Linked DNA regions of Lonchura striata. The protein of the gene in region 3 purifies or fractionates together with the protein of the main gene of each other region. This does not show direct contact. Links are inferred from orthologs where the notes say so. Each region holds a gene or a part of one and is shown on either strand. Other genes may lie near its edges. The genes, in order: ACP2, LAMP1, TMEM192 and CTSD.

Evidence for each region.
Region 1: the proteins of TMEM192 (region 3) and ACP2 purify together in Homo sapiens (affinity purification with mass spectrometry; 3 studies listed by BioGRID and IntAct, with this or other methods). This does not show direct contact. The link is inferred for Lonchura striata from reciprocal best matches to the Homo sapiens genes TMEM192 and ACP2.
Region 2: the proteins of TMEM192 (region 3) and LAMP1 purify together in Homo sapiens (affinity purification with mass spectrometry; 3 studies listed by BioGRID and IntAct, with this or other methods). This does not show direct contact. The link is inferred for Lonchura striata from reciprocal best matches to the Homo sapiens genes TMEM192 and LAMP1.
Region 4: the proteins of TMEM192 (region 3) and CTSD purify together in Homo sapiens (affinity purification with western blotting; 3 studies listed by BioGRID, with this or other methods). This does not show direct contact. The link is inferred for Lonchura striata from reciprocal best matches to the Homo sapiens genes TMEM192 and CTSD.

What each region holds. Positions count from the first base shown.
Region 1 is NC_134608.1:39,107,839-39,115,843, forward strand, and holds the start of ACP2 (lysosomal acid phosphatase), read right to left. Parts: upstream 3,010-8,005; 5' UTR 2,978-3,009; coding exon 2,882-2,977; intron 2,803-2,881; coding exon 2,707-2,802; intron 2,631-2,706; coding exon 2,544-2,630; intron 141-2,543; coding exon 1-140.
Region 2 is NC_134604.1:91,477,274-91,484,889, forward strand, and holds the start of LAMP1 (lysosome-associated membrane glycoprotein 1), read right to left. Parts: upstream 3,018-7,616; 5' UTR 2,923-3,017; coding exon 2,886-2,922; intron 1-2,885. UniProt on the Homo sapiens protein: Lysosomal membrane glycoprotein which plays an important role in lysosome biogenesis, lysosomal pH regulation, autophagy and cholesterol homeostasis.
Region 3 is NC_134606.1:38,857,541-38,865,231, reverse strand, and holds the start of TMEM192 (transmembrane protein 192), read right to left. Parts: upstream 3,005-7,691; 5' UTR 2,925-3,004; coding exon 2,883-2,924; intron 33-2,882; coding exon 1-32.
Region 4 is NC_134608.1:46,500,147-46,507,211, forward strand, and holds the start of CTSD (cathepsin D), read right to left. Parts: upstream 3,003-7,065; 5' UTR 2,856-3,002; coding exon 2,794-2,855; intron 2,345-2,793; coding exon 2,188-2,344; intron 1-2,187. UniProt on the Homo sapiens protein: Acid protease active in intracellular protein breakdown. Plays a role in APP processing following cleavage and activation by ADAM30 which leads to APP degradation.

The DNA.
Region 1 (8,005 bases), on a different chromosome or scaffold from region 3:
TCAGGGACTGTGTGCACAGGGATAGGCTGCCAGGAGATGTTAGGGTTGAACATCTCTTGTCCTCTTGGGGGATACAGGCCTGCCAGATTGGCCTCTGCACTCATCAGCGTCCGATCACAGTCTGTGCTGCGGATGAAGATCTGCCAGGACAGGGACAGTGCATCATTACTAATGCTCCTGCAAGTGGTGATGCTCAGGCACAGGCTGGTGCACTCGCCCAGGAACACTGTCAAGTGCCCTGCAGCTGCTCATGGACAACAGGGGAATAAGAGTTAAAGGGACCAAGCCTGCTGATGTTGGCCTGGACAAAACTGTAAAGACACACGAAGGCAATCTGGTGTCTAATACTGGAGCTGTCTGGTCTGGATCAACGAGATACCCAGGTGCAGTGTGCAGAGGTTAGAGATAGAAAGGAGTCTGAGTCTGAGGAAGGGTCAGAGAAGAGGAAGACAAGGATGCAGAAAATTATGGGTACAGATAGGAAATGTGCTATATTTACAGAGCAGAACTGAGGCAAATACTCCTGCATTCTGTTGTCGGTTCTAGGAACGACTGACTGTGCTCAGGAAAAGAAATGGCTTCTTCAAGCCTCAATTTTTCCATCTGAGAAACAAAGACAAGAGTGATCTGACTAACAGGAGAGTAAACAAAAACAGGGAGGGCTGGGATTTTACCTGATCATTGTGGGCTCTTGGGATTAATGGGCCAAGACTTGACCATTCTAGAGCTCAGAAGAGAGAGCTCTGAGCCAGAAAAAAGGAGAAATGAGAAAAATACAGCAATGTTCAGGAGGTCAAAATGGCAAAACTTTAGTGTTCTGCTATCTGTGTACTGAAAACAGTTAAGGGGAAACTGGAGAAACTGGTAATAAAACAAGAGGAACAACAGGAAATCATAAAAGAATGTCCCAGGAAACAGCATGTTTGATCCGAAACAAGAACAAAAAGCCTGAAGAATGAAATATAAAGATAGTGATTTTTTTTTTAAGTGTTAGGAGGGAAACATAAAATACATATACTCTGTATAATCTCTCTCATGTGAAGTGTACCTCAGAACCTTACAGTCACAAGAAAAAAACTCAACTGGTCCTTTCTCTAACATCAATGTCTGCCCTCTTTTACCTCTTAACAGTGGCTTGAAAAAACTGACCCTGTACTCATTAGACAGATTTGCTTTTGTCCTTGATAAGCTCTGAAGAAATGAAATATTTTAAAAGATAAGGACCTAATTCTAGGAGTATCATAAAAACCCCAAGCAATTAAGCCCTGAGTGTACATGCTTTCTTCAGCACCTTTTGCCAGGCTCCAGCTTGTCGCTGAGTCAGGTGACAGACGGTCATATGGTGTCACCCAGAGGCAACACTTCTTACAAGGGAGGTTGCTCAACTTGAACGAGGGTTCAGGCTTGGTTAGCAGAACAGCTTTTGTTTGCACAAAACTTTGTTTGTTTTTCTTTCTCAAGCAAGAAAAGGAAAAGAGCTCCAACTTGCAGAAACTGTATATGAGTGAAGTATGTTTGTAAAGAAAATACTGAGTATAATTAAAGGATCTGTGTTTGAGCCAATGCTGGAAGTTTTGTTGATGAGGTAAATGTCAAAGAAGGGACGTAATCTGAATTGTGACAAACTGTGTTCTTACTGGGAAGCCTAGTAGGGGAGAAACAAGGAAAAGTGTATGGGGATTCTTAGTTTGCCCCATCTGTTCAATCAGCTTAATTGAGCTCAGATAAAATAACTGAAGTAGTGCAGAGCCTGTAGTGGGACAAGGGGCCTTGGCTGCCTGCTGTCCATCTGAACCAGCTTCTCATCTGGACACCAGTTCATGTTTCAATTGACTCAGTACCAGTTGATTATTAGCAGAGGTACTTGGGAGGATTTTTGATTTCCTTACTTTTCTTTATCTTTTATAATTTCACCTGTGCTTAGTACACAGTTTCACACGGTCTCTATGACTTTTTCCAAAAGAAACCTACCGGTTTCTCAAGAACTGTTATAAAGTGTGTGGACATCCTAATGAGAGAGAGAGGAATGAATAGCTTTGGGTAACTATAGCTGTCAATACTTTACAGTTGAAAGGAAATGAGAGGGTCATTGCTGGTCAGTAATTACTACTAATATTTACAGGCTCTGGTAAGATTGTACCTCAAGTGCACCGGGGAGAGCAGGGCCAACACGGGCTGCATTGCTGTGAGCTATTGTAACAGAAAAAAAAAAAAATCTCACAAGCTTCAGTAAGAAACAAATACCAACTACAACAAACATTGCTCTTTAGTTCCCTGGGCTTCAGAGTGGGCAGCTCGAGCAGTCTCACAGCTCTGGCTGGATTTGCCTTCACATCCGCTGCGAGGGCAGCGCTGAGACAGGGTCGATCCGTGCCCCGCGGCCAGACTCAGCACAGAGCCTGCGCTTGGGCCCTTCTTTTTCCTGCAGTGGGAACGGGCTAAGGAACGAAAATACTTGGGAGACGAGTCCCGGCGCCGGCGTTTCCTTTCCCAAAGGAGCCACCCGCAGCCCCGGCCCGCCGAGCCGCGAGGCTGGCACTGACCTCCTGCCGCCGGTACGCGTCGCTGAGGAAGTCGCGGTAGCGCCGCCGCAGGGCCTGGCCCAGCTCCCACTGCTGCCGCATCCCCACCTGCAACGGCACCGGGCGTCACCGGCGGTCCGGACCCCGGCCCGGCCCCCGCCGCCCGCCCCGCCTCGCCCCGCACCTGCGTGAGCTGCCCGAATCCCTGGGGCCAGGCGCTCTCCTGGTGCGGATCTCGCGGGAAGGCCTTGATGGGCGAGCGGTCTCCGTGCCGGTACACCTGCGGGCGGCACCAAGTCACCCCGGCCCGGCCCGGCCATCCCGGCCCGGCCCGGCCCCCGTACCCCCGTCCCCCTCACCAGCGTCACGAAGCGGAGGCTGCGGGCCCGGGCGGGCGGCGGCTGCAGACACAGCGCCAGGAGCAGCAGGACGGCACCGCCCCGCCCGCCCGCCATGGCGCTCGCACACCGCCCGGAACCGAGCGCCGCGGCCGCCGGCCCGCGCGGACGGGGTTCCGCAGCGCACAGCCCCGGCCGCGCTCCCGGCGCTGCGCCCGCCCCCGAGGAGGAGGATCTCGGCGGCGGGACAGCCCCGCTCGGCGCCCTGAGCGGCCGCGTCGGGCCCGCGGGGCCGGCGCTGACCTCCGCTGTCGGCCCTGCGGTGCTTCGCCCCGGAGGCGCTCGGTAGGAGCGGCGGGAATGAGGGCGCAGCGGTGTCACCGCCGCCGCAGCTTCGCTCGAGGACGCGAGGTTTCGTAGCGTTCTGGCGCTGTGCGTGTGGTCCCGGGCGAACTCGTGGGCAGGAGTAGGGAAGGAGGCCTGGCACGCAATGCCCGGCAGCCGTGGGTCGCTAATCGTCGCATCTCTCGGGTCAGCCTCAGGATGCCCGTGTGGAATGGAAAGCTCCTGCTGCTCCTGGCCCTGGGCAAAGAGGCTGCCCAGCCTTGGCAGGTTTTGCCCGGTTTTGGTTGTTCTTTACGAAACTTAGTCGAATTAGATGAGTGTGAGACGAAACCCGGCTTCTGCATCGGCATCGTTGGCCGAGGATCTCGTAGGTGCCGTGTTTAGAGAAAAATCATAGGCATTTAAACCAATTTAGTGCTACTTAGTATTTATCTCCACTAAGAAGTGCATAGAGGGCGGTGAATGAGGTTCTCGGCTTTCTCTTTTTTAAGAAAAGAAGGAAACATGGCTCTCGCGTTTGCAAGGAAGTCTTGGGAGGCATGAATTTGCAGCGTCAGAAAGTTGTGTGTAAGGTCTCAATAATTCAAGCCAAACCTTATCCCAGAGCAGCCCCCTGCATCATAAGCATTCGAGGCATGTAACTTGAGGGTGCCAGATTGTTTGTGAAGCAAGCGGGTTATTTCAGGACAGGATTGGTGCAATACACGAGGCTCAGCTGGACAGAATAACGTGTTTAATTTGCTCATGCTCGAATGCTTAGTGAATTTAAACTGAATTACGTTTCCTATCTGTAGGACAGCACGAAGCCGCATTCTTTTTTTTTTTTTTTCTTTGTTTACCGATACCGCACCACTGAGGAAGTTCCTGGCGAGTGCTGGAAGGAGAAGGTTCTCTGCGGAAGGAGAACGCGCGCTGTTCCTGCGGCACCTTCTTTGGGATTGTTCTGTCGTTGCTGCTGGTTTTGCTCCGCCGCTGCGGGCTCGGCTGCGGGCGGGCAGGCGGCGAGGCCGGCGGGAGGGGCTGCGGTCCCGCCGCCCGGGAGTCACCCGCGCCCGGAGCCTTCGCGCCCCGCGGGACCCGTGGGGGCGGAGCGGGGCGGGCGGCGCCTGCACGTGACCCGGGTCCGCGTGACATCACGGCAGCTCCGCCGCGGCGCCGGGAAGAGCGCCGGGAGCAGCGCCGGGAGCAGCGCCGGGCCGGGCCGCCCCTCCCGCCCGCGGCTCGGCCACCGGCGCTACGGGGGGCGGCGGCCGCGCGTCGCCGGGAGCCGCGGCCCGCGCCGGTAACTTTCCGCGCTGGCTCTGGGGGCGGCGGCGTCTCCTCCTCGCCGCCCGCGGGGCCGTGAGTCACGGCGGGGGACGTGGACGCGCCGTCCCGCCCCGCGGCCTGCGCCGGCCCGAGAGCCGCCGCGTTCCTTGGACCCGGAGCCGGCGGCGTAGCGCCGCCCGCCCGCGCCGTGCTGCCGGCCGGGCCGGGCCGGGCCGAGCGGCGCTGGAAGGTGCTGGAAGGAAGAGGGACGGCGGCGGCCCGTCCCGCTGAGGCACCCGTGGCCGGCGGGGTGCGGGCCGGGCTGGCGGCGTCACCCGAGAGCGGACGGGAGGGAAGGGGTCACTCGGCCTGGGTCCGGAGCCCAGCGCCGGCCGCGATGCGCGGTGTCTGCCGGCGGGGACCGAGGGCGCGCTGTCGGAGAGTCCCTTTGCTAAGGGGGTCGGAGGCGTTTGGGAGCGGTGTCAGTTTCTAGTGGCTCTTGTGCATCTGAAGAGCCCGGGTTTCTGTCTGCCGTCTCCGGACGTGCTGTCAGGAGATGTTTACTTGCTTTGTGGTAACTTGTTAGCTTTCCTCTGCTCAACTTTAAGTTCTCTGTGTCATTCACCTGTTGCATCCTGTCAACCCAGGTCACGAGTTTTCTAGGGCAGAAACTTTTCTGTACGGCTGTTGGTTTGCATGGTGCTGTTAAAAGGTAACTTTGCTTACATTGGTGGTTACTCTTCATTGTGCCGTTTCACTGAAGCTTATGCTGCTGAAGTCCACAGATCTGTCAAGACAGGATTTCGTTATGGGCTGGAAGCAAACCTTGGATCACCAGTGAAAGAGAAATGCTCTGCCTCCTGAAAATTCCTTCCCTTCTTTTCTTTTTCCTAAAGGGACAGCTGGGCTCTTCCCTGCAAGGCTTTTTTTGAGGGAGTCTCCAACACTGAGTCACGTTTCTGACTAACAATTTGGATCGCTGTGTGTCAGACAGTTTCTGGCTATGACTGCAGGTTATGTTTGTCTGTAGGGAAGAGTCTTCTTGGATCTGCTTCGTGTTCCAAGGTACTTAGAGTTGATCTTCTGTTCCTGGGTGTCAGAGAGAGGGCTATACCTGACGACAGACAAAAGAAAACAGAAAACCTGGATTTTATTTCCTTTACTGAGTGGTGGGCTTGATTTTTTAAATTGAGTCTGAATCAAAACATAACCCCCTTGCTGAAGTACAAAAACATTACTTATATTTTAATTAGGGAAACAAAAACTGTTTTCAAACAGCCAGTTGTTCCTGAGCTCTACCCTTCTATCATTTGGGTTGTGAAACGAGGGCATTGGACGTGGTACACATTGTGCCAGGACCAGGTGGAGATTGGCCTTGCTACACTTCTTTGTCACCACACCTGTGGTATATTCACCAGAAGATACTGCTGCTGCAAGGCTTGTGAGGGCAGACAGACTTGTGGCTTCCTGTTGTGACCCCTTTTTGGAGTCTAGAACTTGCAGTGACACTTCTTTCTCATACATGAATGTGTCCATGCATTCTTTTTTATACAGGAAGGTCAACTTTTGCAGGAGAAAAGCCAGGATGAAAATATTTAACAGCTTTCTCCCAGACCTCCAGAATAAAAGGTGGAGGAAATAAACCTAAACTAGCCTGAAGGGGGATAGAAAATGGGTCATTGTGGAGCTGCATGGGAGTTCTGTAGCTGCCAGAGGAAACTTGCAGCTACTCATGTTGTGAAGGGATGCAGGGAGAAGTACCACAGCAGGGACTGTATGTATATAAATTGCCTAATCTAAAAAAATAGGGACAGGAAACTTTATCACAGAATTAGTGTGTCCTGGCAGTGTGCCTGAGGTTGCTCTCGCTTGCTGTTTCCAGTTACTGCTGCTGCAGCTCGCTGTGCCTTGTCAGCATGTTTTCCTTACCAGCTGGCTGTGCAGGGAGGCAGGGGGAGGCTATGCAGGACAGGCGTGCAGCCGTACAAATACACAGCAGGAGTTTGCTGCCTTGTCCCTGTCTTACACCTGCAGGAAGAGTTGTGTTTCCAGTGTGGTAATGTGCATTTGATTGCTCTTTCTTTTCCTTTTTCTTGGATTAGTACTCGCAACTCGGCATGCTTGTTCTGAGGTAATCAGAAGAAATTTTGCTGTTGTTGAATGTTAGATCAAGTGGTGATGGTCTCACGTCTTAGAAATATGTCTCTTTTAATTAGATGTATGGCTGTCAAGACTGACAAGTTTTCAAAATTTCAAGTTTTGAATTTAAAAATCTTTTAACTGTTGCTGTTTTTCAGAAGTTGTGATTCCATCTCTCTAAGGAAGAGTATAGAATATAATGTGCTTTGTCTTGGGTGCATTGAAGGATGATCCTACTTTCTGCTCTGGAGGCAGCTGCTGTGAAAGTCTCATTGTTGCAGCTGTGTGGGTCTTTGCATGTTGAATAGGAAAGCTTATCAGATTGTTTGTCACTCTCCCTCTTTTCCCTCCCCCGCCAAGTAATGAGATTCTCACACCTGACAGCCTTGGAGAAAAGTCAGTCTTCCAGAACAGTCATAGGCGTTCCTGCCCATTGTGGTGGGGGTTGAACTTACTGGATTTTTTAGGCCCATTCAAAACCATTTTATGATTCTCTACAAAAATACCTTGTTTCGTTGGGGGAGAATATTCTGCTGATCTTCTGTAGGATGTGTTAACGTGTTTTCCTTACAGCATAATAACTCAGGAAGGCAGTCACATTCGCTTGGCTGTGGAAACTGTCTCAGTGTGAAGGAATTTCATCTTAGGAGGGAATTCAGGAGAGTGTTTCCTTCTGATAGGTACAGGTTTGCATTAAGGCTTATAAACAGGTTGAACTTGGTCATTAGATCATACTTCTGCTAGTATACAAGTACTGTGTTTGACTTAACATTTTCATTGTTGTTACTTCATCTTTGAGAGATGTGTTCAATATTGTTAAATGAAAAGAGGCCGTCCATGTTCAGTCAGACCTTAAAAATATATCAGTTAGAAATGATGCAATGGCTTTCTTTAGCATTCCCATGTCAATTTTGTTCTGTGACTTCCTGCTTGTAACCAAATACTTTTTTTTCCATATTTGGAACATTAGACAAATTTCTTTCTTGTGTTCCCACCAAAAGGGAGACACCACTAAAGCTAGTGTAACTTGTACTTTTATATCTGGGGATCTCAAAACCAGATTTCCTGTAAAGCAAAATTACTCGCTTTATGGAGTGTCACAAAGAAAATGTTAAGGTGATTTACATAATTTTGGTGTAATATAATAAATCACTTTGAAGTATGCATTGTCAATGTCTTCAACAATCTTATTTGGGTAGAACAAAGGTTCACTAAGGTAGTGCACAGAGGAGAGCAGAGCATTGCAGATCTTCCCAGTAGGTTTAAGGAGGGGAAAAAAAATATTTATTTAGTGGGAAGTCAGTGAAGAAATGAAGAGAAAATGGTAGAGGATGAGAAATCTAATTCTTGTTTTGAGCAGAACTGAAACTAGTGCCTAAGTGGGAGAACTATCTTGTGGGATTCAAGAATTGA
Region 2 (7,616 bases), on a different chromosome or scaffold from region 3:
TGCCCAAAAGTGTCTTCTGCCAAGTTTAAGAGAACACATACCAAAAAATCCATTTCAGCACCAAGCACCAAAGACAAACTGTTGAAGCTGAAACAAGCAAAAGCGAGGTGTGCCTTTTGCTAGAAACAAACTTTTATCTTTGAGACCTACAAAGGCTTATCAGAGGTAATAGCAGTTAATGTTGCAACAAAGCTCAATCAATCTTTAAGTCAGGTTCCTCTGTACTTAGAGGCAATTCTTCGCTTTGTCATCTGCTACTGAGTAGAAAACATCCTAATCGCTACAGAACAATCTAGAAGCAGGTTACATGACAAATAAAACTCCTTGGTCAGCCTGAACAGAAACCTTGGAAACATATCTGAAAAGTGGTAAGCCAGGGAATCTGCAGAGTTCTCAGCAAGCAAGAAGTTACTTCATGAGTCAAAAAAGCTGATGAAGTCAAAGCCAAATAACCTATCACATGATGACTGGCACACTAATTCAGATCCTTAGAGACTGTGTCAACACACTTCAAGCAGCTATCAAGCAAACATTGTGTCAAGGGCAGCAATTGGTAAAACAGTATTTCCAAAGTTGCTCAACATTAAAGCAGTTAGATTTTGTGAAAACCAAGTTATACTGGTCTCAGTTTCAAATGCCCAATAATGCCAAACTTGAAAAAAACAATTCAGCACCATATTGCTCTCACTGGCTGGAATTCATTATCAAGTTTCTCAACTATCTCTATATCGGTAGCAAGGTTTGAAATTCCTCTTTGGACTAGAGTTGCACAACAGAAACATGTGGATTATACGTCAGTGACTCTGAAATGGCATCACGCTATCTTGAAAAACTAATTTTCCCTTCTGCAATTCTCAAACACTTCATTTTTTATTCACTACACAGGTCTGATTCTAATCTTAATTTTTCAGGAAAGTGTTCTCTGATGTGTCTGTGTTTCAGTAATGAAGAAATGTACGGGTACTCTAGATCTCAGAGAGCACAAGCAGCTCTGTTGGGTTTGGCACACAACCCAACTGACTCATCATGCTCAACAACAAAAAAGCACCATCTTACTCAGTATTTCAAAAAGCAGCAGCTAAGTTATGGGGAGGTACTTCAATTTCCCATAGCCCCCTTTCCCTGCATGTACCATACACTACCTAAATGTTGTCTTAATTCCATATGTATATTTGATGGTAGTGAGAAAATTAATTACAAAATACTCAATGCTGACACATGAAACATTCAGCTTAGTGCTTGCTGCTCAATCTAAATAGAAAACTGAGACAGTAAGTGAGGTATGGTGAGGTATTCAAGTGGAAAAAATATTCTGTTGTCCTGAAGTCAAGGCATCACCAAACAAGTTTCCATGTCTGCTCCACCCATACTAATCTTTCAGCCTCCTGTGATGATGACCTTATCCTAACCAGTGTTAACTCAGATGATTAAAAGGCTGCAAATGAGCTAGAATACCCAAAGACTTCAGCTCATATATTATCTTTACCTCTTATTCTTCTCCCCTCACCTACAACCCAAACACCACACTCTAGCAAGAAAGGGTCACTATTTGCACCACAAGATCCTTCCCCAAGACTGTAGTACAAAGCTATGCAGAAACACACAGCTATTAAACACTAGTACAAAGTCCCAACTATCAGTAAATAAAATAAAAAAAAAAATTAAAAATCTGTGGTAAAATGAGCTATTCTATTGCCTTGGTTGCAGAAAACTAACACATCTTACATGCCAGAAAGTGACAAAGATAGCGAACCAAATGATGCTTGCAACTGCCAATTAAGCAAAGGAAGACTACTGCAATGGCCAAAAGTATTAACTGTGCTACCACATAAAAATCACAAAAGCTAATTTGAAAGCAAACTATAAAGCAATTCTTCATTTAAGTCGTAACTATATTTAACTAACTATTCAAGTAATTCTCACTATGACACCAGTTCAACAACACTTCAGCTGGCAGCCCTAAAAATCACTGTGCTTGCTACACTGCCTCACGAGAGCTGGATATTTGAACTGCTCAGTGCCCTTTGTGAGTGGCATCTTCTGGGCTCAGTGAAACTGAAGCACGGTCAATGGCGATAACGATATTTAGTACCAAAGAGACGTTACAGGAGTCGCAAAGACTGTCCTAGCTCAAAAATGATGGCAGATAAGCATTCTCAACTGCTACTCTATTTGGGAAATATTTTGACCAGCCGCTGAACAAGTTTCCTTTGCTGCCAAAGCCACATCTCAGAAACCTGATAGTGTTGTGTGATGTGGCTTTCAAGACAAGAAACCAAAACCAAGGTAGCTATCAGTAAACAAGCAAGGCACACTTCCTCGTAAAACAGCCTTGCTGACCTAACAAACCTTCTCATCAAGGCACTGAAATCGCTCTATTCCGGACACGTTTCATATTTTGCTCAAAACAGGGTAAGAAGAAAGCCATTAGCAACGGAGCACGACATTCCCTATAGAAAAGCGCTGCTTCCTAGCAATGACATCAGTAGCCCCCACGTCTCCAAGCCTCGTGCTCCAGGCGCGTTTCCAGGTTCCTCCCGGAGCGCAGTCCCGCACCCAGCGCAGGTGCTCGGAGCGGCGCTGCCGGGCGTGCCGCGGGTCAGCCGCCGCCGCACGCCCCTCAGCGCCCCGTACCCCCGGCGGCCCTCAGAGGCTCCCGGGTGCCACAGGCCCGGCGCGGGGAGGGGGGGATGGCCCCGAGAGCCCTTAGCCCCCGCGGGTCAGCCAGCCCCCGGGAAGGCACAGCAGGGGGAGCGGACGGGCGGAAGGGTCTCCAGTTACAGCTGCGTCGTCCAGCGCCGCCGGCCCCGGGGCCGCCTCAGGCCGCTGCGACCCGCCCCCGCCACTCCGCCGATCGCACGGGCCACCCGCTTCCCCCTCCTTACCGAGCAAGGCGGCCGCCGCCAGCAGCCCCCGGGCCATGTCGGGGTGCAGGGACGGGGCGCAGGGACGGGGCGCGGCGGGAGCGGGCACGGACCGGGAGCGGGGCGGCGGCGGCTCCGCGCTCGGGGCGCTCTGGCGACGGCCCCGGCCGGTCATGTGACCGCTGACGTCACGCGGGCGGGCCGTCCGTCACGTGACGCGGGCGGCGCTGCGGTGGGCGGGTCTCGCGAGAGCGGGGCCGTGACCCGCCGAGCCCCGAGATCGGCGGCGGGCCGGGGCGCCTGCGGTCCTCTCGCACAGAATTCATCCACCCCCAGCTGTAGAGAAACACTGGGAGTTATGCTCTGTTGTCTCTGAAGTGCTCTATCTGTATATACCCAGCTATACATATAAGCCACGTGTGTTCCAAGACAAAATAGGGGCTGCTAATGACGCGTGTTCGCATCTCACTTGTGCCGGGCGCTGGCATACATACCCACTTCATAACTACATTAAGTTGTGGAGTCAATTTATTTATTCCGCGTATCGCTTCATTGTAAAAGTTGTAATTTCACATAGCTTCAGATGTCTGATGGTTTTTAAGGAATCCCTTTTCTCTTTTTTTTGGGAAAACCAGAAAAGGTGAAGTTACCTTGTAAACGTTCTCAGATGTAAGGGAGATGGACAGCCCAGGTTATTTGATCACGTTGTAATCCAATGCTCTCTTTTATCCACACTGTTAGGGATATGCCTACTTCATCTGAGACCTCAGAAGCTCCTGCAATCCCGTTCCCAGTACGATTGGAACGTGTGCCAGTAGCAGCGTGCCTCTGCTTTCTCACAATGACGGCCACAGAGTCCCTCTCCTCACTACAGGCTGCTCCAGGTTAATCGTCTCCGAGGCACACTGATTTCTGCTCCCAAGCTGCCTTCATACGTTTTTACACGGAACCCATTTGAAACGGAATTTAGCTATTCCCAGCTGCTAAAGTCAAGTTCAGCTACTGTGAACTTGACCCTTCCTTGCTGCTTGTCTCAGTTCACTTACAGGTCATGTTTCCCCAAAACATCCTGGATAAGTTCAGTTGGTCCTTAGGAGGGCATGGGGATCTAGTTTTCATTTTTAATGTTATTGCTATAAACACATATTTCTTTTTAATGCTGCATTTTTATCTGTGTATTTTTACACACAGTAATGTATTATTTTAGTTTGTTTTACCCTGCAACACTTCCAGCAATCTTTATTCTTTCCATGCATTGTCAAAAGCAGAACTTAGTTTGAAAAAGGACATAATGAGCAGCTCTGGTCAAGTGTTTGAATGACTCATCTGCAGAGGAGTTGAGGGCAATGGAGGTGGGACATGGGTTGTTCTCATTTTGGATCACTGTTTTTGGAACCTGCACTGGGAATGGAGGAAGGTCTGCAAAACAGAGTCTGCCACAAGACAAATGGGGAGGGAGATCCAAGGTTTAAACTTGGTGTGCAGTATTTTGCCTCCCTGCTGGAAAATCAGTAGGCATCTCTGAATGGAGAAATGGCAGATGCTTGGATTGGTAACAAAAAAAAAAAAAAAAAAATTATATATATAAGTTGCATAAAGCAACAATACTGTGGTAAAATTTGGTAAGTAAAGAACTTAAGGTTATCAGAAGAGAATGATGTGGACATTCCATAATGTGGATCATTAGCTCACTGGGCCTTTTATTAATGGTGTGGAGACAGCACCATATCAATTTCCACCTCCTTTCAATACAGGTACTATCAGGGTGTTGGTTAGACAAATGCATCAAGTCTTGCACAACAATGCTGGCCATCAGCCCCACTGCTTGGTAACTTGTTGGCTGACATCAATCAAACATGATAGCAGGGTAAGACATAAAGTCAAAGCTTCTGTAAAAGCTGCTATATACACAGCCAGATTAGTGCTGTCACTGAGGGAAAGGAAATGTAGTCCATACCCAGCCACTACACGTCATCTGACAGAGCTGCAGGCCAACCAGCCTGCTCACAGGCCCAGGCAGGAACCAGGATGCACTCCCTGGCCTTTCTTTAGAGCCATGGATGCAGAATGGGCTGCTCATGGGAAACACCCAGGAGAGTTAGGAGCCATTACTACAGTAAAAACCATCCTGTGAGGCCAAGGCAGAGTACAAGCAAGGGAGACAGTGTATAGGCTAGGAGATTTTACAAGGAAAGAATTTCCACAAAACATGACTATTTTCCTGCTGACCACACTATTGTTGATACAGGCCAGGATGCCACTGGCCTTCTTGGCCACTTGGGCATTGCTGGCTCATGTTCAGCTGCTGCCACCAGCACCCCCAGGTCCTTTTCCACTGGGCAGCTTCCCAAGCACTCAGTCCCTCTGCCTCAAGCAGTGCATAGGTAGAGCTGTGTAACAAATTAAGACATTGAAGTTGCCTAAAAGGTGTGTAGTATTTTTTTTCAAAAATGTATAGCACAAAGATAAGATGAAAAAGCTGCAGCTGATCAAGAGATATAAGTGCTAAACCCAGGTTCAGCTAAAGGAATCCAGGGAAAGCTAAAATATAGAGCCTAAGAAAAAAAGCCTCAAGGAAAGGGCAGAGAGGAGGCTGTTGGCTGGTTAAGGAGAGCTGTAACTGCCAGGCTTGGGAAGCGCTTTTAAGTCAGGCCCCAGCCTACATTCTCACACTTGCTTTCCCTCAGGAACTGTTGGGTTAGATAACAGTGTGTCACATTTAGGAAAATTGCTTTTTAAATGTATATAATGTATGTTTGGATAAGTTAGAGCCCCAGGCTGTATCCAGGCCCCTGCTGTTATTTTTGTCATTCCATAGAAGCTGCTATACCATTTGTTTTAAGGACACTGAACTGCCAAGATCCAGGTTTCCCTGACATACCTGAACATTGATGCTCTATAGAGGACATCTGTTACTTTGCTACTGCCCAACACCTTCAACACTGGGTGATCTTCCAGGAAGACAGGTACATTCAGACAATGTGACCCCAAAGAACTGACTGACTGAGGCAGACTGCTCAGCCAAATTCTATCACCAGCTACTGAAAAGCAATCAAGTGTAGCTATTTCACTATGGAGAAGTGATTTGCATGCTGACTCATAAAATAGCTGCTTACCTGTTTGGTTTAGCACATAAAATGTCCCAGTAACAAAGATTTGAGGAAATCAAATTAAAAATGAGGACCTGAGAAAAAGTTACCATTACCTTGCCCGTCAGTCTCTCACAAAGCTTTTGAACCTCTGAAACCACTTGCAGACCAGTCTTGAAAAGTCTTCAGAGATCATGACATTTTCTGTAGGTTCAAGCAGGTAGAGGGGATGGGTAGAATTGAGCAGTTGATGAGGGACAAAACCCCCACCCCCACAAGCAGAAAGGCAGAACCAAGGACAACTCCTCTTGAGTACTGCTGCTTCAGGTTATTTGCAGGGGATGATACAGTTGGATACCAAGGGCATACAGCACAGAAAGACAGGCTTCATAATTTCCACTGCTGTGGAACAATTAATTTTTAATTGCTAAACCAGAATAACATGGCCAATGAGCCCTCAGTCTGTGGCAATTAAGAAAAACTGCACATCTCAGCACTTTTAATTAACATTGCTTCTTGAAGCAGAACCATTTCAGTCATCTTCAGGATAACACCACTGCTTTAAGCTATTGTTTAAAACTACTGAACCAGAACATTTGGGTTCAGAAGGGGCAGGCACTACATTCTCACTGCTTCCTAACAGCTACTGCACACTACTGCCAGCTTTCAGTGTGGATGAAGGCTCTCTGGCCATTACCTTTCTGTGAGGCACATATTCCTTTTTGGTTTAGAAGTCTGGTAAGATGGATCTGATTGGTTTCCATATACATAAAAAGTGAACGGTATAGCACTAAAAAAAAAAATCTCAAAAAAGTGCCACATTCTCACAATGGCTAAGAAATTAATACTTAATATGCATCAAAGATTTTATTTGCATTAACTGAAGATTCAAATATTAAAATAAGTCTGCATTAAATTATAATATTAAATATGCTTTAAATACAATAAACTAAACATGTTTAGTCTCCAAACACAAGGGAACAAAAATAATTCAGAATGCAATAAAATTAATAACACCAGAGGACAGAATAAGGACTTTTAATATGCAGTTCCACAAGTTGTCACCTCATAGCTTTGTTTACTTTAAGAAGTGGCCTTTTAATTGATGCACAAACCCCACGTTACATAAACTTAGTAAGGTATCTCTCAAGAAAATATTGCTTAGGTAAATTCTCCTTTATGTAGTGATGAAAACTCCTTTGGTAGCTCTTTTTCAAAATGAAGCATACCAGTAGACAAGTCAGGAAAATAAACAGTCTTGCAAGCATTGCCAATAAAGGTATCTTCCTTACAGTTATCTAACAGATCTACAGTGTCTTTCACTCTTTAATTCAAATCAACTTACATATGTACAATATGTAACAAAGTACTCACAAAGTCCTTAAGTCTTTCAAGACAAAAAGCTATGCTTCCCCAATATTGAGACCACAAAAGTATTTTTTAAAAAAAGTTTTTGTTTTCTTAAAGTAGAGCACGCTGTACAGTAGGTTCCCTGGATGTTATTTTCAAGGCAGAACTCAATGTTACGGCAATTACAGAAACAGTGAAATACACCTGCTGCCCTAAAATGAGGTAGGGCCTCATTGACTCAGATCTAATCTTCACCACCCAAGCCAGCAGAAGTAGTAATAATAGAACAATCCATATTTTAGCTAAATAATCC
Region 3 (7,691 bases):
TCTTCCAAACTCTGTGTTATTTCCAAGGAACCCTGGAACAGAAGGGGAAGGCAAACAATAGCTCTAAGGTAAGCTCTAAAAGTAAAGCACAGAAGTTTAGGAATTTTCTGTGAGCAAATCAAGCCTTGAGGGAGGAAAACCCCACTAGGTTAGTATCTTGAGAAACCTCTTAAACTCTTGGTAAACATTCATCACATGTGAGAACTCTGTCCCTGAGGAATCCAGCACTAATCTACTTCCTAGTATCACACTGAGCCTTCAGGAACTTCAGTTTTAAAAATGTATAACAAGTATCTGAGCTTCAGACCCCAGAGATGTCAGGAACATGGGAAAAAATAACGAAGTCTTTCTCACATGCTTTATACAGCTACTGCAAAATTCTTTGTTGTTCTTAGTTTTGTCCAACTGCAGTTGGAGGCAACAACAAAGCTGCAGTGTAACAGTAACAGTTTTGAGTATTCAACCTCTAATACTACTGACATGTCAAAACACCTGCAGAAGTAACTAGAGCTCAACTCAAGCAGGAAAGAAGCAGTAGTTCATAGAGGCAAGAAGATGCTACCAAAGTGTTGAGCAAGGCACTGCCTACACTAGAGAGAATGCAGCCTGCCCTTGTCACATTGGAGCCAAGTATTAGTTATTTGCCTTCACATTCAGTTCAAATATAGTGTCTTTTACTAAGTAGAAGATAAAACTAAGTACAAGTGAAGGGAAAAACTTTGGACAAGGAACTTCCCCCACAGCTGTGCATCCCTGCTCCTTTCAGGTCAGGACAAGGCCATTCAATACATATTAAGTGAAACATACACAAGGCACTATGATGGCCAACTGCTACATTTTCTCTTTAGCATCCTGTTATGTCCTTTGCCTCAGAAGAGAAAACAACTCAAGATTTCCACTCAAGTTTTGACTGCTCTTTTTCATATACCAACCAGAGCCCAGAAGAAGACAAGGGCAGACCCCATCCCACTCCAGACTTCTGACTATTCAGATGTGCCACATTTCACCAGACTATTTTCTGATTTATAAACTGAGGACTTCTCTTTGCCATGAGAAAAAGCAGCATAAGCCTCAAGACAAATGAAACATTCCATCCTTCTAGACACTAACACAGGAAGAGAGGGATTACACCTAGGTTTATACCTCATGTCAATGAGGACAATGTAGACTGTCTCCCAAGTGTAATTTCACCTGCAGACAACTGCCTAAAGTGAAGGAAATAGTCATAAAGAGTTATTTCAGTCAACAACCAGTTTTCTTTTAGAACCATGAACAATACACTTGCCCTACCATAGAGGAGTGTGAACAGACCACCCTCAGCTATTAGATACCTTTTAATTAGCCCAGTCTTGGACTGAAAATGACCCTTACTAAAATACCTGCCTGGTAAAATGACCTTTTACTGCACACCTAAATGTTTACAAATGACATTCCTCTTATGTCACTGATATAAAATCCAGAAGCATGAGAGCAAAGATGCCCGCTAGCCCTCCTTCACCCATTTTCACAGGACAGGTGTAATTTTAAGCACTGAAAGCAAGGACCAACACTCCAGCAGCCAAGGCATCTTACCTAATTTTTCAGATTACACATCAGTAAAAAATTGATTATCATGAGGGTGGAGAGACACTGGAACAGTTGCCTGGTAAAGCTACAGATGCCCTATTCCTGGAAGTGCTCAAGGCCAGGCTGGCTTGGCTTTTGAACAAGCTGGTCTAGTGGAAAGTGTTCCTGCCCATGGCAGGGGGGGGTTGGAAATAGATTTTTAAAGAACCTTCAACCCAAACCATTCTATGATCACAGAATCAATAATGGGGTTAACAGCTCACATGTCCCACAAACCCAACAATTCTTCTTAAGACACTATCCTTAGTCTAATGGGAACAAATGATTCACCATTTCTGTATTTCACCATTCCCTTATTTCCATGAGGGATCAGGGCACTCCTTCACAGACAAAACTTTATCAGAGCTTTGACCATGCTACTTTCTCACAAGACTGGCTACAGTCCATCTTTGTAGCCTAAAATACAGCTAGTATTAGGAAGCACTAGATTACATAATCTCTTTAAATAAATTTTATTACAGACAACATGGAGAGGAGGGGAATTAAAGCACAGAATATGATGATCCTATGCAGTCAATCTGTCATGAAGAAAATCCAGTAAGTGTCCTTCCTAACCGGAGTAAACACTGGTTTCATTTCATTAAGATGAGCCAAAACCACAGTTGTCAAAAGCCAAAATGCCTTAAATCCAGACTTGTTTGGCCCTGCTGCTGAGCACAGGTTAAAGCTTTAGCCTCTTGGCTCCCTGCTCCACTTCCAGCATGTGACCGCTTCCACAAGAGCCAGCAGGAGAAGGGCAGGCAGCAACAAGCCACAGCCAGCAAGCCTTGCCCACACCGGCTTCCAGCTAGGGCGGGGAGAAACATTCAAACAAACACAAAAACGCCGTGGTCATGCCAGCGAACAGCACGTAACCCGCCTGCGGAAAAATAACCCAGAAAACCTGAAGCAACCACATGAGCAGCCCCGAATAGAGGCTAATAATCTCGATTAAAAACAAGCCAGGCCCAAACGCCTCGGAGATATTTCAAGCCCGGCTGGGAGGGGCAGCGCAGGGAGCAAGGGGCCGCGGCGGCCTCCTCGCTCCGGAGAGCGGCACCGGGGACGCGCCTGGGCCGGCGGCGGCCGCCGGAAAAAACAGACAAAGCCTGCGGCGGCCGGGACGGAAACAGCCCGGAAGAGGCGGAAGGAAGAGGGCACGGAGCACACGGAGCACACGGCGCTCGCCCGGCGGCGCCCACTCCCAGCGGCAGCGCGGCCGCTCACCCGGGCGGGGTCCCCGCGGCCGCGGCCCCGCTCCCGCCCGCCGCGCTCACGTTGTCCAGGTCCTGCCGCCGCCGCCCCGCCGCCAGCGCCATCGCCGCCTCCCGCCACAGCCGCCCCGGCCGCGTTTAATGGGCACCCCCAGCGCGGCCCCGCCGCCACGGGCTGGCCACGGGCAACGCCGCCCCGCCCCGCCCCGCCCCGCCGGCAGCGCCCCGGCCGCCATTGGGCCCGCGCCGCGCCGGCACCGCCCCGGGACGCGGCCCTGCCCTGCCGGCGCGGGGCCGGGGCCGGGCCGGGGACGGGTCTCAGCCTCAGCCTCAGCCCCAGCCTCAGCCCCAGCCCCAGCCTGAGCTCCCGTCCTGCCGCCCCGGCACGGGTCCGCGCCGCCAGCCCGCCCCGGGAGCGGCGCTGCCCCGTGGCCGTGCTCGGTGCGGTTCTCTCGGCAGCCCGCGACTGAATTCCAAACGGAGACCGCTTCCAGCAGGCTCCGTGTCCCTGCGGGGCCGGGGGTCGGGAGGCAGCGCTGGGAGGGGAAAGTACCCCAGATGGTTGGCCAAAGTGTGGGGTAAAGGCAGCGTAGTGTGGTGTCGGCTTGCAGAGCAGTGTCTTCTCACCTCCAATTGCTCTTGCGGAAAGCATGGAGTCTATACAGCTAGTTACTGTTTCCAGTGGATTTGCCTGCCCCTTCAGATCACAAAAAGTTTTAGCATTCACTTTATACATTTTCTAAGACATTTCTGGGCCTGTTGTATATTTTTGGCAGGAAATGCGTTTTCTTTAAAACGTGTGCTTGGTAATTTCATTTTCCAACCCTTTATGATCATGCTGAGAAAGACTGTGGCCACTCACAGTGTCCAGACTACTCCCTTATGGATCTCTGTGTTACTGACACTGACAGCCTCGTGTATTCTGCATACTCCTCAACCACTTACTTGTGCTTAGTACTTATGTATTTTTGTTAGCCTCTGTGGCATTTTTCAGCTGTAACCTCTCTGGAATGACAAGGATCAGAATGACACTCTGTTTGTTCAAGCATGTGCAAAGTATGAATTTCCAAAGCACCATATTTATTATATGTTATGTGCTCTGTTCATATGCTAATGTTTCTTAACCTTCTGTTTGTTCTATATGAACATCCCCCTTAACCTTCAGCTAATGCTAGTGAGGACTCTGAACAGGGTCAAAGCTGTAACTGGGGGTCTGAAAGACAAGTAAGATTGTATCCTCTCCAGGTTGTGAGTGTTCTATGTATTACTTTAGAGAAGCCAGGACTGTCACCTTGAACAGCTGTAGTGGCTCTGTCTCTCTTGAAAGCATGTTGAGTGCCAAGGGATGAAAACTGCTCTTAAGGTTTGAGCTTCTTCAGAGAAGAAGTTCCAAGTTTTTTTATCTCAGTTTTGGTGACTTTTCCTGGCTTTTTCTAGAAAAAAAATTCTCAACTGAAACCTCGCACCAGATAATTTACATTCATCACTTGCATTCATTTGTTCTTGTTTAATACAGATACACACATTTAATGAACTGGACAACTATCTTAAATTAAAAAGAAGCCTTAAATTTGCTGGTTTGACTGAGATAAAGCCCAGCTCCTCTGATAAGAGCATGCTCTGTTCCAGTTTCTCAGCCTAAATGTTTCTTTTTCCTCCTCCTTATTGTGCTTCCTCTTTTTTTTTTTTTTTTTTTTATTCCTGACAAGAACACAGATCCTACTGATCAGTAAGCAGCTGACAAAAGTTTTCAGTGACAGTGAAGTGAGGCCACAATTTGCATACATATATGCAGTGTGTGTAAGATATGCCATTAGACAAGTGTTTACAATAAAATCAAAAGAAAAAATTCTTCTAACTGTAATTTTAAAATCCTAAAGTCCCAGTAGGTTAACATTTATTAGCACTCATTTGAATAGCTATAACTTTATATATAATTGTAAACATTTTTTTTACTGAATGGGAATTGAAAAGTTCTCAATGGACTATTGAAGAGCACAGGGAAAAATACAAGTTTAAATATTTGAAGTGTGTAAATACTTACTACATACAATATCAGTTAACATATTTAAAAGCATGTGATTGCCAGTTTCAACTGGTTTATGTAAAACATGTATGTATTCTCTACAGTAGTAGTCTGCTTTTGTTCTTAGTAGATCACTCAATCTTTGTTTTGGTTTTGATGTATGATTTTAATTACTAGATTCACAGTATTTTTTTATAGTGAGAGGTTTTAGTGATGTAGATAGGTTCTAATAAAGTAACATTCTCTTCTGGTCCATTCCTGTTCCATCTTGCATCAAATTTTGCAGACATTGTAATATTAGTGTACACAAACTTGCAAGTCTGGCTCCTGAAGGATGATCTAATGCTGGGCAGTCTAAAACAGATAAAGATATGGCATGGTCCTAAATTCTTTCCACTGCAGCTCCCTCAGTAATGATGAAGATATCTGCTAAGGGTTAGATAAAAAGATGTGGTATGGCCCAACAATACTATGCTGCCCTTAGGGAAAGCTCTACTTAGACATTAGATACACAGGAATAAATGCTCTACTTAGGCATTACCTTTGCCATATCCATAATAATTACAATATTTGGGGACTAATTGTCACAATTGTATCCTCACAAAGAGACATAATATCTAATTTTCTTCCTCTCAGTTTCATGTAAAATTTGGCATGAATGGAAACAGGATTGGGCTCACAAACTTTTTCACATTCAGCTATAAGATGTAATTATCATTACTGTTTCTTTTTCATACTACAAGTACAATTAGTACTTAAACTGTATTCAGTTCTATGTATTCAGAATACAGTCTCTGCTCTGAGAATATGAGGTTGTGACAGATCCCCAAATTACTTAAAATATAAATGGGAAGTGAAAAGGTAAAAATAATAGTAGAAAATTTTATTTGCCTGAATTGGCTGTAATAATCCTGAAAGCCATACTGCAGTAAGTGCAGTCTATGTTCTAGCCTCATATTACAGACACTTCAGAAGTACTCATTTTATTTCAAACTCCTGTAAATTTTTTAAATCCTGTGGAGGTTAAAAAACCAGTTCACTGCTGAATATGTTTAATACAAAGGAACCTTTCACTCCATGTATAATTTCAGATTTTCATATCATGTAAGAGTCAAGTTTTTGTGTTGAGCAGCACGGGGCTATTTATGCATGGTAATCATGTAATCAAAAACTGCCACTTGCTATGCAGATTTTGCTTCCTCAATAAAGTGCCCATTAAAAAAATCTGTGGCCTTTAAATGCAAGCTATTAAAAAGAGAGGAGCATTACACTGGTGTTGATAAAAACTCTTTCAGTCGTTCACTGATTAATATACAAATTTGAATGGGTTACTTCAGCTTGTCTATTAGTACAAATGATTTTGCAAAATGTCTTACATATCCATAATGAAGTCCAGAGTTAGGACTGACGAAAAAGGGTAGATAATATGGCTGTAGAAAAAGATTTTGGACTGCTTTATGCAGATGAGACAAAGAGCAAAAGAATAGCAAAGAGAAAAAGTGTAAAAACAGAATGGGCACTCTTGATTACTTAAAAAAAATTTACAGATTTCCTAGATCTATTAAAAAACAAATAGAGGTTAAAGAAATGATACAACTTTTCAATTTCATATCTCCTTTTAAAAATACACACTAGAAGTATAAAGGTTCAGAATTAACTATCCCAATATATTTTACTTTGTGCTAAAATAAGTTTGAGTTTTAAATAGTTTAGCATTTAAGCAAATGCCTAATTTGCAGGGTGAAAATGCAACAAAAAGTACTCCCTATGCAGAGTAATTTTTTCACTTTCTTCCGATTTTTCAAAATCATATTCCTGCTTACATTCTGTTATAAAGCTATCACAATATGACACCTATCTATTTGAACTTTATAAAGGGAAACAGAGCTTTTTATAAAAATATTTGAGTTTAGATTATATACTATTGTAAAAGCAGGTGAACCCGGTGGGAAGAAATGACAATGTCTGACTCTAGTTCAGAAGGCTGAATGATTTCTTTATTTTAACTATCCTAGAATTCATTAATATACTATTTGAAGGAGATACTAAAACTACAAACCTACTTTTTCTAACTACTATATCTAACTCCCTCACAACTCGTGACTCTCTCTCTCATCCAGACACAGGCACAGGTGGATTGGATTTGCCATCAGGCTCAAACAATCCTCACCAGAATCCAATCAAGAAATCACCCTCAGGTAAACAATTCTCCAAACACATTCCACATGAGAAAAACAAGGAGTAGAAATAGAAATTGTTTTCTCTTTCTTTCCTCTGTGCTCCTCTATGAAAAAATCCTGAGAGAGAGAAGAATGTGCCTGCCACAGTATACTTTCTAGGGTAATTTTCTAAAAAAAGAGGAATATTTGAGATAATTACCTTGGGAAAGCTACTGATAAAATTGAAATAAAGACAGAAGATTGAAATTTCAAGGAAAAAATAATTGATTTCCCCTCCCACCCTCTTCCCCCAGTTTTTTTTTTCTCAGTTTTGGGTACAGTTGTCTGAAAATCTTGAAATGAACTTGTCAAGAACTAGCTTGTGTAAAATAACTTTTTAGGCTGTATGGTTAAATATTAACATACCAACAAATATTCTTTTGAATATTTTAAGTTCTGAAGTTCCCAATTTTTTGACCTCAGTATATTAGTTTGGATACCAATGTTCTTCTGCATAGAAATATTGGCAAGGGACTGAAAATTCTGAGTGAAAATTCTCCTCCAGAAACACCATAATAAACTACTAATTCTGTGAGTACTTGCTTATACCAGAATTATTAGACTAAACCTTTTTGTATCTTTGACTTAAATCTCCCCTTCATTTTTTTTCAGTTTACTAGGAGTCCA
Region 4 (7,065 bases), on a different chromosome or scaffold from region 3:
GGCAGCTAGCTAAAAGCAGGGATTAAAAATCAAAAAAATCTCTTAGGGTTGAACAGAGGATCAGCTTCTTATCTAGACATTGCCCTCCTCTTGGTTTTGGCACCTATGGGTTCCCAGCCTTTTGCCCTCTGGAAGGGAGGTTCCCCTTCAGCGTTCACAACTCATTACAGTGGGTGTGAAAAGGATAAATCGAGGACAAGTGGGATGGGTGCATGCGGGGGAGAACATTTGGGGCATGGAGGCAGAGAAGAGAAGGGGGAAGATCTGCAGGCTAGCATGCAGTTCACTACAGGGATGAGAAAAAATGATGGAAGGAAGCCAAGCAAAACACCTGTGTTATTGAAAAGCTGAAACTGGCTGGGAAGCTGCTTTGCTCGTGTGCTTGCAGAGAAACAGTGAACAGCAGCACTGCCCACTGCAGGTGGAGGTACAGCTGCTGCAGGTTTTGGTGCTTGCTGGTGAGCTCCAGGAATGTGGGGGAATAAACAAATGCTCAGCCTCGAGAGGTGGAAGACTGGAGGAGTGGTGGGAGCAAAGAGCATGAGCAGCATCACCAGAGATGGATTTAGGCCTCCAGGGTGAAAGACTGGGAGAAGTCCCTGTAGCACAGGTATCTGATGGACACATTTTTGCTCTGAGACTACATTTCTGCTGGGACTGGAAAAAACCAGAATGGCTGAGTTGCTGGCAAAGTAACCCTCTCTCCACAGAGGAGAGGATGAATGGAGAATGCTAGGCAGGTGCTACTTGGACTCATTTTTCCCCAAACAGGCAGGGAGCTGTGTCCTGCCTGGTGAGCAGCTGGGTCAGGGCTCTGGAGAAAAGGCTCCTAGCAAGAGAAGTCAGGCAGTAGCCTTTCCAAACCCCACGTGTACTTAATTAAGAGGGGGGGAAGGGAGGAAGGGAAGGAAACAGGATTATCAAAGCTGTTCACCTCCTGTGCGCTTAGTTTGCAAGGCTTGCTCACTAAGTAATTAACAATCCATTGCAACATTGCAATTAGCCATAATGGGGAGGCAGCATTGCTTCCAGTGCTTCTATAATTATTGCTGGGGCTTGAAAATTAACGCCCGGTACAGGGGCTCTGTTTGTCACACACATAGACCCATGAAGGGTCCCAGGACAGGAAGCATATGAGGCAGGCTAGTGGGGCTTGTCCCAAGAATTTATTTGGCAGCAGCAAAAGTATTTTCAGCCTGTCAGGGAGGGATCCAGTGGTCCCTTATCTGCCACCACAGGTTGGATTGGTGCCTCCGTGACAAGGGAAAACAGTGCTGCCCTGAGTGGTGGTCTGAGCTGTGGCTGCAAGAGACAGCACCGTGACACAACCGCTGGCCCTGGCTTTCAACACTGCCAACTGAAACACCGGTGGCCCTTCCCAGGTCAGGACAGCGCTGGCTGGGTGACAACAGTTGCTGGGGAAGGGCAGCAGCGGGAACATGTGCTGAACTAATGCCTAAATATCTGGGCCCAGTTTTATTCTGCCAGCTAATGCTCATATCCTACGCTGCCCCGTAAGGAACCCTGAAATACTAAACCCCACACGTGTCTGGCAGCAGTGCAAGGGCAAACTTCATGCCCTTTATCTCCTTCCGCCACCACCCAGGTCTCTTTGCTCCCTAAGCTGCTGACAAGAAAGTGGAGATAAAGGGTTGCTTTTCCCAGGGCAGTGCAAAAGATGAAGGATAGCGAGAGGAAGGGTCCTGCATCCCCAGTACCATAGTAAGCTAGCATCCTCAGTACCATAGTAAGCTAGCATCCTCAAGGAGTAGAGCATGATTTTTATGCCTCTGCCTTGCCAGAAGTAGAGTTCAAACGGCCAGAAGATGCTAAGAATGATTGTAAGTGAGTAGGCCCCTATTTATGATTGTTAATTAGTGACAAAGGGGAAAGGAAATAGGTCACAAACTGAAAAGCTCCTGCTTGTTGGCAAAGGGTTGTTTGCTGTTGCTGTAATTACTAGTATTAGTATTTTTAGTTTAGTAATGATAGGAAGCGCCTTTTGGTACCCACTCGCTAAGCCATGGAGGTGCATGAATCTGTACTACAGGATCAACTCCTCTGCCTTCCTGGCTGGTGGGAGGCTGGCATGTCTCACCACCCCCTGGGATGGGTACCTCTACAAGTGACATTGTGCTGGGGTCCGCTGCAGTGCAGGGGATGGTCTGCAGGGGGGCTGTTACTCACATCCATGTAGTTCTTCAAAATCTCCGGAGTGGGCTTACCCGCCCCGGCAAAGCCCAGCTTGTACTTGATGGCCTCGGTGATGGAATTCATGTCTGGGATCTCACTGCCCGCCTCTTTCAGGATCCGCCGCATGGAAGGGAACTTGGTCAGGGGGATCCTGTGTGAGGACGGCAAACGCACACCTGTTAAAGAGGGTGTGCAGGGCAAGGATACCTAGGGAAGGGGGGCAGCAGGGCTCCACTCAAAACAGGGAACGCGCCAGGAGGAGGTGGGTGAGGTTTGGGCTCCTGCCAGCACCCTACCCTAGATCCCCCTCGCCGCGCTGCGTTCAGTGTTTCTCCCAAAACCAGAGGACAGGGGGAAAGGCCGGCGGGCTGCCAGAGGCCTCCAGGTGCAGGGGAAGCTGGGGCGAGGCCCCTCCGTGCGCAGGATGGGGGGGATATTCCGAACCTTCCCCTCCTTGCTTTGATGGAGGGGGAGCCACCCGTATGGAGGGCTGCGAGAGGAGCTCGGAGGCCACCGCTGCAGCAGCACCAGGGGGGCTTTTCCCCACGTCCTTCCCAACGCAGGGCGCCCGGCAGCCCCGGAGGAACCCCCTCCCCTCACCTGATGAGGGCGGCGCAGGAGCCGGCCAGGGCGAGCAGCAGGAGGAGGCCGCGGGGGCCCATGGCGGCGATGGCGCTGCTGGCGGTCGGAGGCTGGAGGTCCCGAGCTGAGAGGCCGCGCCGCCGCCGCCGCTCCCCGAGCCTGTTTTTGTAGGCAGAGCGGCCCTCGCCACGGCTCCCGGCGTCAGCTGACGGTCTAAAATTGCACCGGCGGCGTCACGTGAGGGCGGGACGGGGCGGGCGCGGCGGCGGGGCCGGGGGCGCCGCCTCACGGCCCCCCCGGGCTGACCCCCGGCCGTGACTCAGCCCCCGGGAAAGGGGAATAAACACCGGGAAATCGATCACGAGATGCCTGCCCGGCCGCGCGTGCTCCTCCTGCCCTGCCTCCGACTTCCTTCTGCTCGGCTGCCTTTTTGGGTTTTTTTTTGTTCTTCCCAGGTTATCCGGCGTTTTTTTTTCTCCCAGGGGAGTGGGGCGGGGGGGACACAGGACACATGCACAGCGCCAGGCAGCACACCCCGAGTTCCTCGCAGCGCTGGGCCGCTCACGGACCTCGGCCCCAGCCGCTGTCACCACGGCGCTTTCATGGTGCAGCCCCCAGCCCCGTGTTTCTCCCTGCTCTCCGGACACCTCCAGTTTGGGGGACTCATCCCTCCAGTCCCTCTGAGCTGGGTGTTTCTGGAGGAGATGGACATATCCTAGGCCACAGCTTTTTTGGGAGGTGCAGTGGGGGATGTCAAGCTATATCTGCCGCCCCTGAAAATGCTCTGTGGGGGTCCTGTGCTACCTGCAGCCACCGAGAACGATGCCGGTGCAGGGCAGAGCCCGGGGGGACACCAGCCACCAGCAGTCCCCGAGGTCTGCCCCTTCCTCAAAATACAGACTGAGCATTGCGGAGTACCGGGATGGGCTCTTCACCACCACCAGTGTCCTAACAGTGTTCAGAGGTGTCACCCCACCAACTCAGGAGGCCACAGCTAATCTCTCTCCAGTTTGCAACAACAGAGCTCCTACAGAGCCACGAGACTTGCTAGGAAAACAATAAAAATTAAATCAGATTTACAGACATTTTCCCTTCCAAGTCATGAGGGCTGGGAGGGCTTGTTTCCTGCTCCTGCTCGTGCCTAGTCATGGGGATGGGAAAGTAGCAGCTTGTGGGACGAGTTGGACACTGCTGGAGTGGGGGACCCCTAGCTTTGCGATGAGGTTCCCGTCCCTCTCCTGTCACACTTGTGTTCATGCAACTTCTGTAAAATTGCTGGGTCATGTTACTGTCTCCTCACTTGCACCAGCTCCTTCCCATACTCTGTCCCTAAGCCTCTTCAATCCTCCCACGGCCTCACCCTGCTGCTCTGGGTCTGTGCATGCTACCCCCGCAACTGTGATCCATCCTGAGTATTTTTAGAGGGCATTTCTGCCCTGGGCTGCATCTTGTCCCACGAGCTCTCCAAATTGCCACATCTTGGTCAAGCTGATGGGCTTCAGGAAACCTGCTGCCTGCCTGTGGGACACAGCTGCCATTGGGATGAGGTTTTCTGGGGCGATCGCCGGAGGCATTGGCTGGACCGGGTGGGTCCCGTTATTCGGCCAGCACCTGCTTCCTTCCTGCCCCTGCGGGTGTGTGGTCAAGCGAGTGCCACTGACCGTGAGTCAGCAAAGCCCATGGCCCTCCCGGCCCCGCGGCGCTGTGTGACTCAGCAAAACCCCGTGTGGCTCATCGGGCAAGGGGCCAAGGCATAGCGGGGCCGCAGCACCGGTAGCCTGACCCCAGAGGCATTGCTGCTGCCGCTGCTGCTGCTGCTGCTGCTGCTCCAGCTCATGGCTCTCCTCCTCTCATCCCCCTGGATGCTCGTGGGCAGGAGCGGCTCAGACATAAACCAGCCCGACCGTGGCCCCATCTAATCAAATCCACCCTCTTGAAGGGCTCTAAACCCCTTTATAAATGTACTTTGCAGACAAAAAGGACAATCCTGACACCAGCCCAGGCATCCCCTATGTCCCTTACAGGCTTTCCTGGAGCCTCTGGCAGAGCAAGTGAAGTACCAGTCCTCCTCCCTTCTCTTTGAAGTGGCTGGGACACTGTAGCTGGCCAGACAACCTGCGCCTTGGCCCCCAGGCTGGGGCACCTATGGTAGCTCCTCCTCAAGCGTTTCCAGTCTAGCCAGTCTCTGCTAGAATCCCGTGGCTATGGAGTGGGCTCCAGTGTGCAGGGATGGGTCGGTGAGTACAACATGCCATACTAGTCATGTACCATCACACAGTGCACAGCAAAGTGCTTCAGCAGAGTAAAGAACTCTGGACCCAGGCTGTGTCTGTTTTTTTTTTGATTCCAAGGGATTAGAGGCAAGCTTTGCTGTTATGAATGAGCCTTAGCTTGAGCTTCATTATAGCAAGGCTTGTGTCCTCATCTGGGATTGCTCTCATACCAGTGTAAGAAGGTTGCTGCATTTTGAGCTGTTCTAAGTGACTTACATGCCCCATGTTTCCAGTGGTTTACTGGGAAAGAGTGAGAATGGAGCTGTGTCAGGGAATGTTACAAAAGTGATCCTCTCCTGGGTGCTTGCAGGATGGGAAGGGACTGGGGGTCTTATCCCCTGAGTTTTTAATCTGTCTCTGTCCCTTGGCACCAGTAGTTTTGGAGCTGACACTGCAGTACCTGCATGCTGGGAGGCCAGTGGCTCCAGCAAGGAGACAGGATTTCTGCATTCAGGCTCCCTCAGCTCCTCTGTGGAATGTTTGCCCTGATGTTAAAGCATTTAGAAGTACAGTGGGTATGTTTGACCAGGAGCTGGGAGCACGTCTGGGTATTTATAGGCTGAGACCGTGAGAGTTGTACCATATTATCTTAAAAAGATAGAGTAGCACGAGCCTGGTCTTAGAGTTTTTTTACACACTTTTCCTTGTTTGTGGAGCAAACAGGGAGTGCCATGGCTGAGGTATCTAGAGAACCTGTGAGACACAATGGAGGGATCTATCCCTCCTCACTCCTATTTTTGTCGCAGTGGATGAACCCCTTTCCATGCTGCTCTGCCTCCCTAGCCCCCTGCATCCCCTGCGGCTCTGAGGGGTGAACCAGAGCATCTTCCCCTGCAGCCACAGCTGTGGGTGTGGGGTGACACGCCCCTGGGGCCCGGCCATGCTTTCGCAACCTTGGTGCCTGCTTGAGAGGATTCCCAAGGTGGGGTCAAATGACTCAGCTCCAATAGCTCCAGTTGGGAAGAGCACCCCAGCTCTGGGAGATTGGGGTCTCCTCTGCAAGTGACACCTGGCTGTCCCATCTGCCCTTTGCCCCACCGGCAGGGACCTGATGCAGCTTAGTTTATAAACATAGAATACTTTCGGTTGGAAAAGACCTACAAGATAATTGAGCCCAACCATTAACCCAGTACTGCCAAGTCCATCACTAAACCATGTCCCTATGTGCCACAATTGCATGGCTTTGAAATGCCTTTGGCAATGTGATTCCACCATTTTCCTGGCCAGCCTGTTCCAATGCCTTATCACCATTTCAGGGAATGAATTTTTCCAATATCCAGTCTAAAGCTCCCCTGGCACAACTTGAAGCCATTTTGTCTCATCCTGTCACCTGTTACCTGTGGAAACAAGCTCCCACCTCACTGCAGTTCCCTTTCAAGCAGCTGTAGAGAGTGACGAGGTCTCTCCTTAGCCTCCTTTTCTCCAGGCTAAACACCCCCAGCTCCCTCAGCCTCTCCTCATAAGATTTGTCCTCCAGACCCTTCACCAGCTCCACTGCCCTTCTCTGGACATACTCCAGCACCTCAATGACTTTCTTGTAGTGAGGGGCCCAGCACAGGACACAGGACTTGAGGTGCAACCTCACCAGCAGCATTACAGAGGGACAATCCCTGCCCTAGCCCTGCTGGCCACACTATTTTTCATACAGGCCAGGAGGCCACTGGTTTCCTTGGCCACTGGAGCACACTGGCTCATGTTCAGTTTCAAGTGCCTTATTTTTGGGGGGCTCTAGCAGGTCTCTCATTTGCAGTTTGGCAGACCTCTGCCAAGGCTGCTACAGTGGTCTCTTTGTCCTTACATATGGCTCTGTGTTTGCCTTCACCCTTTCCTTAGTGTTTTTTTCCTAAATTTATTTATCACAGCAGCACCAATGTTGTGAACTGCAATGACCTACAGGCCAAGGAAAGCTTCAGCTCAGAGATGTAGGTTTTTTTGCTCAGCTGTGGGGGAGATTTTTAGAGGGTGTCTTCAAATTCAAGAAAATGCATTTCTGATTTTGAAGCTCGTTGCTAGAAGA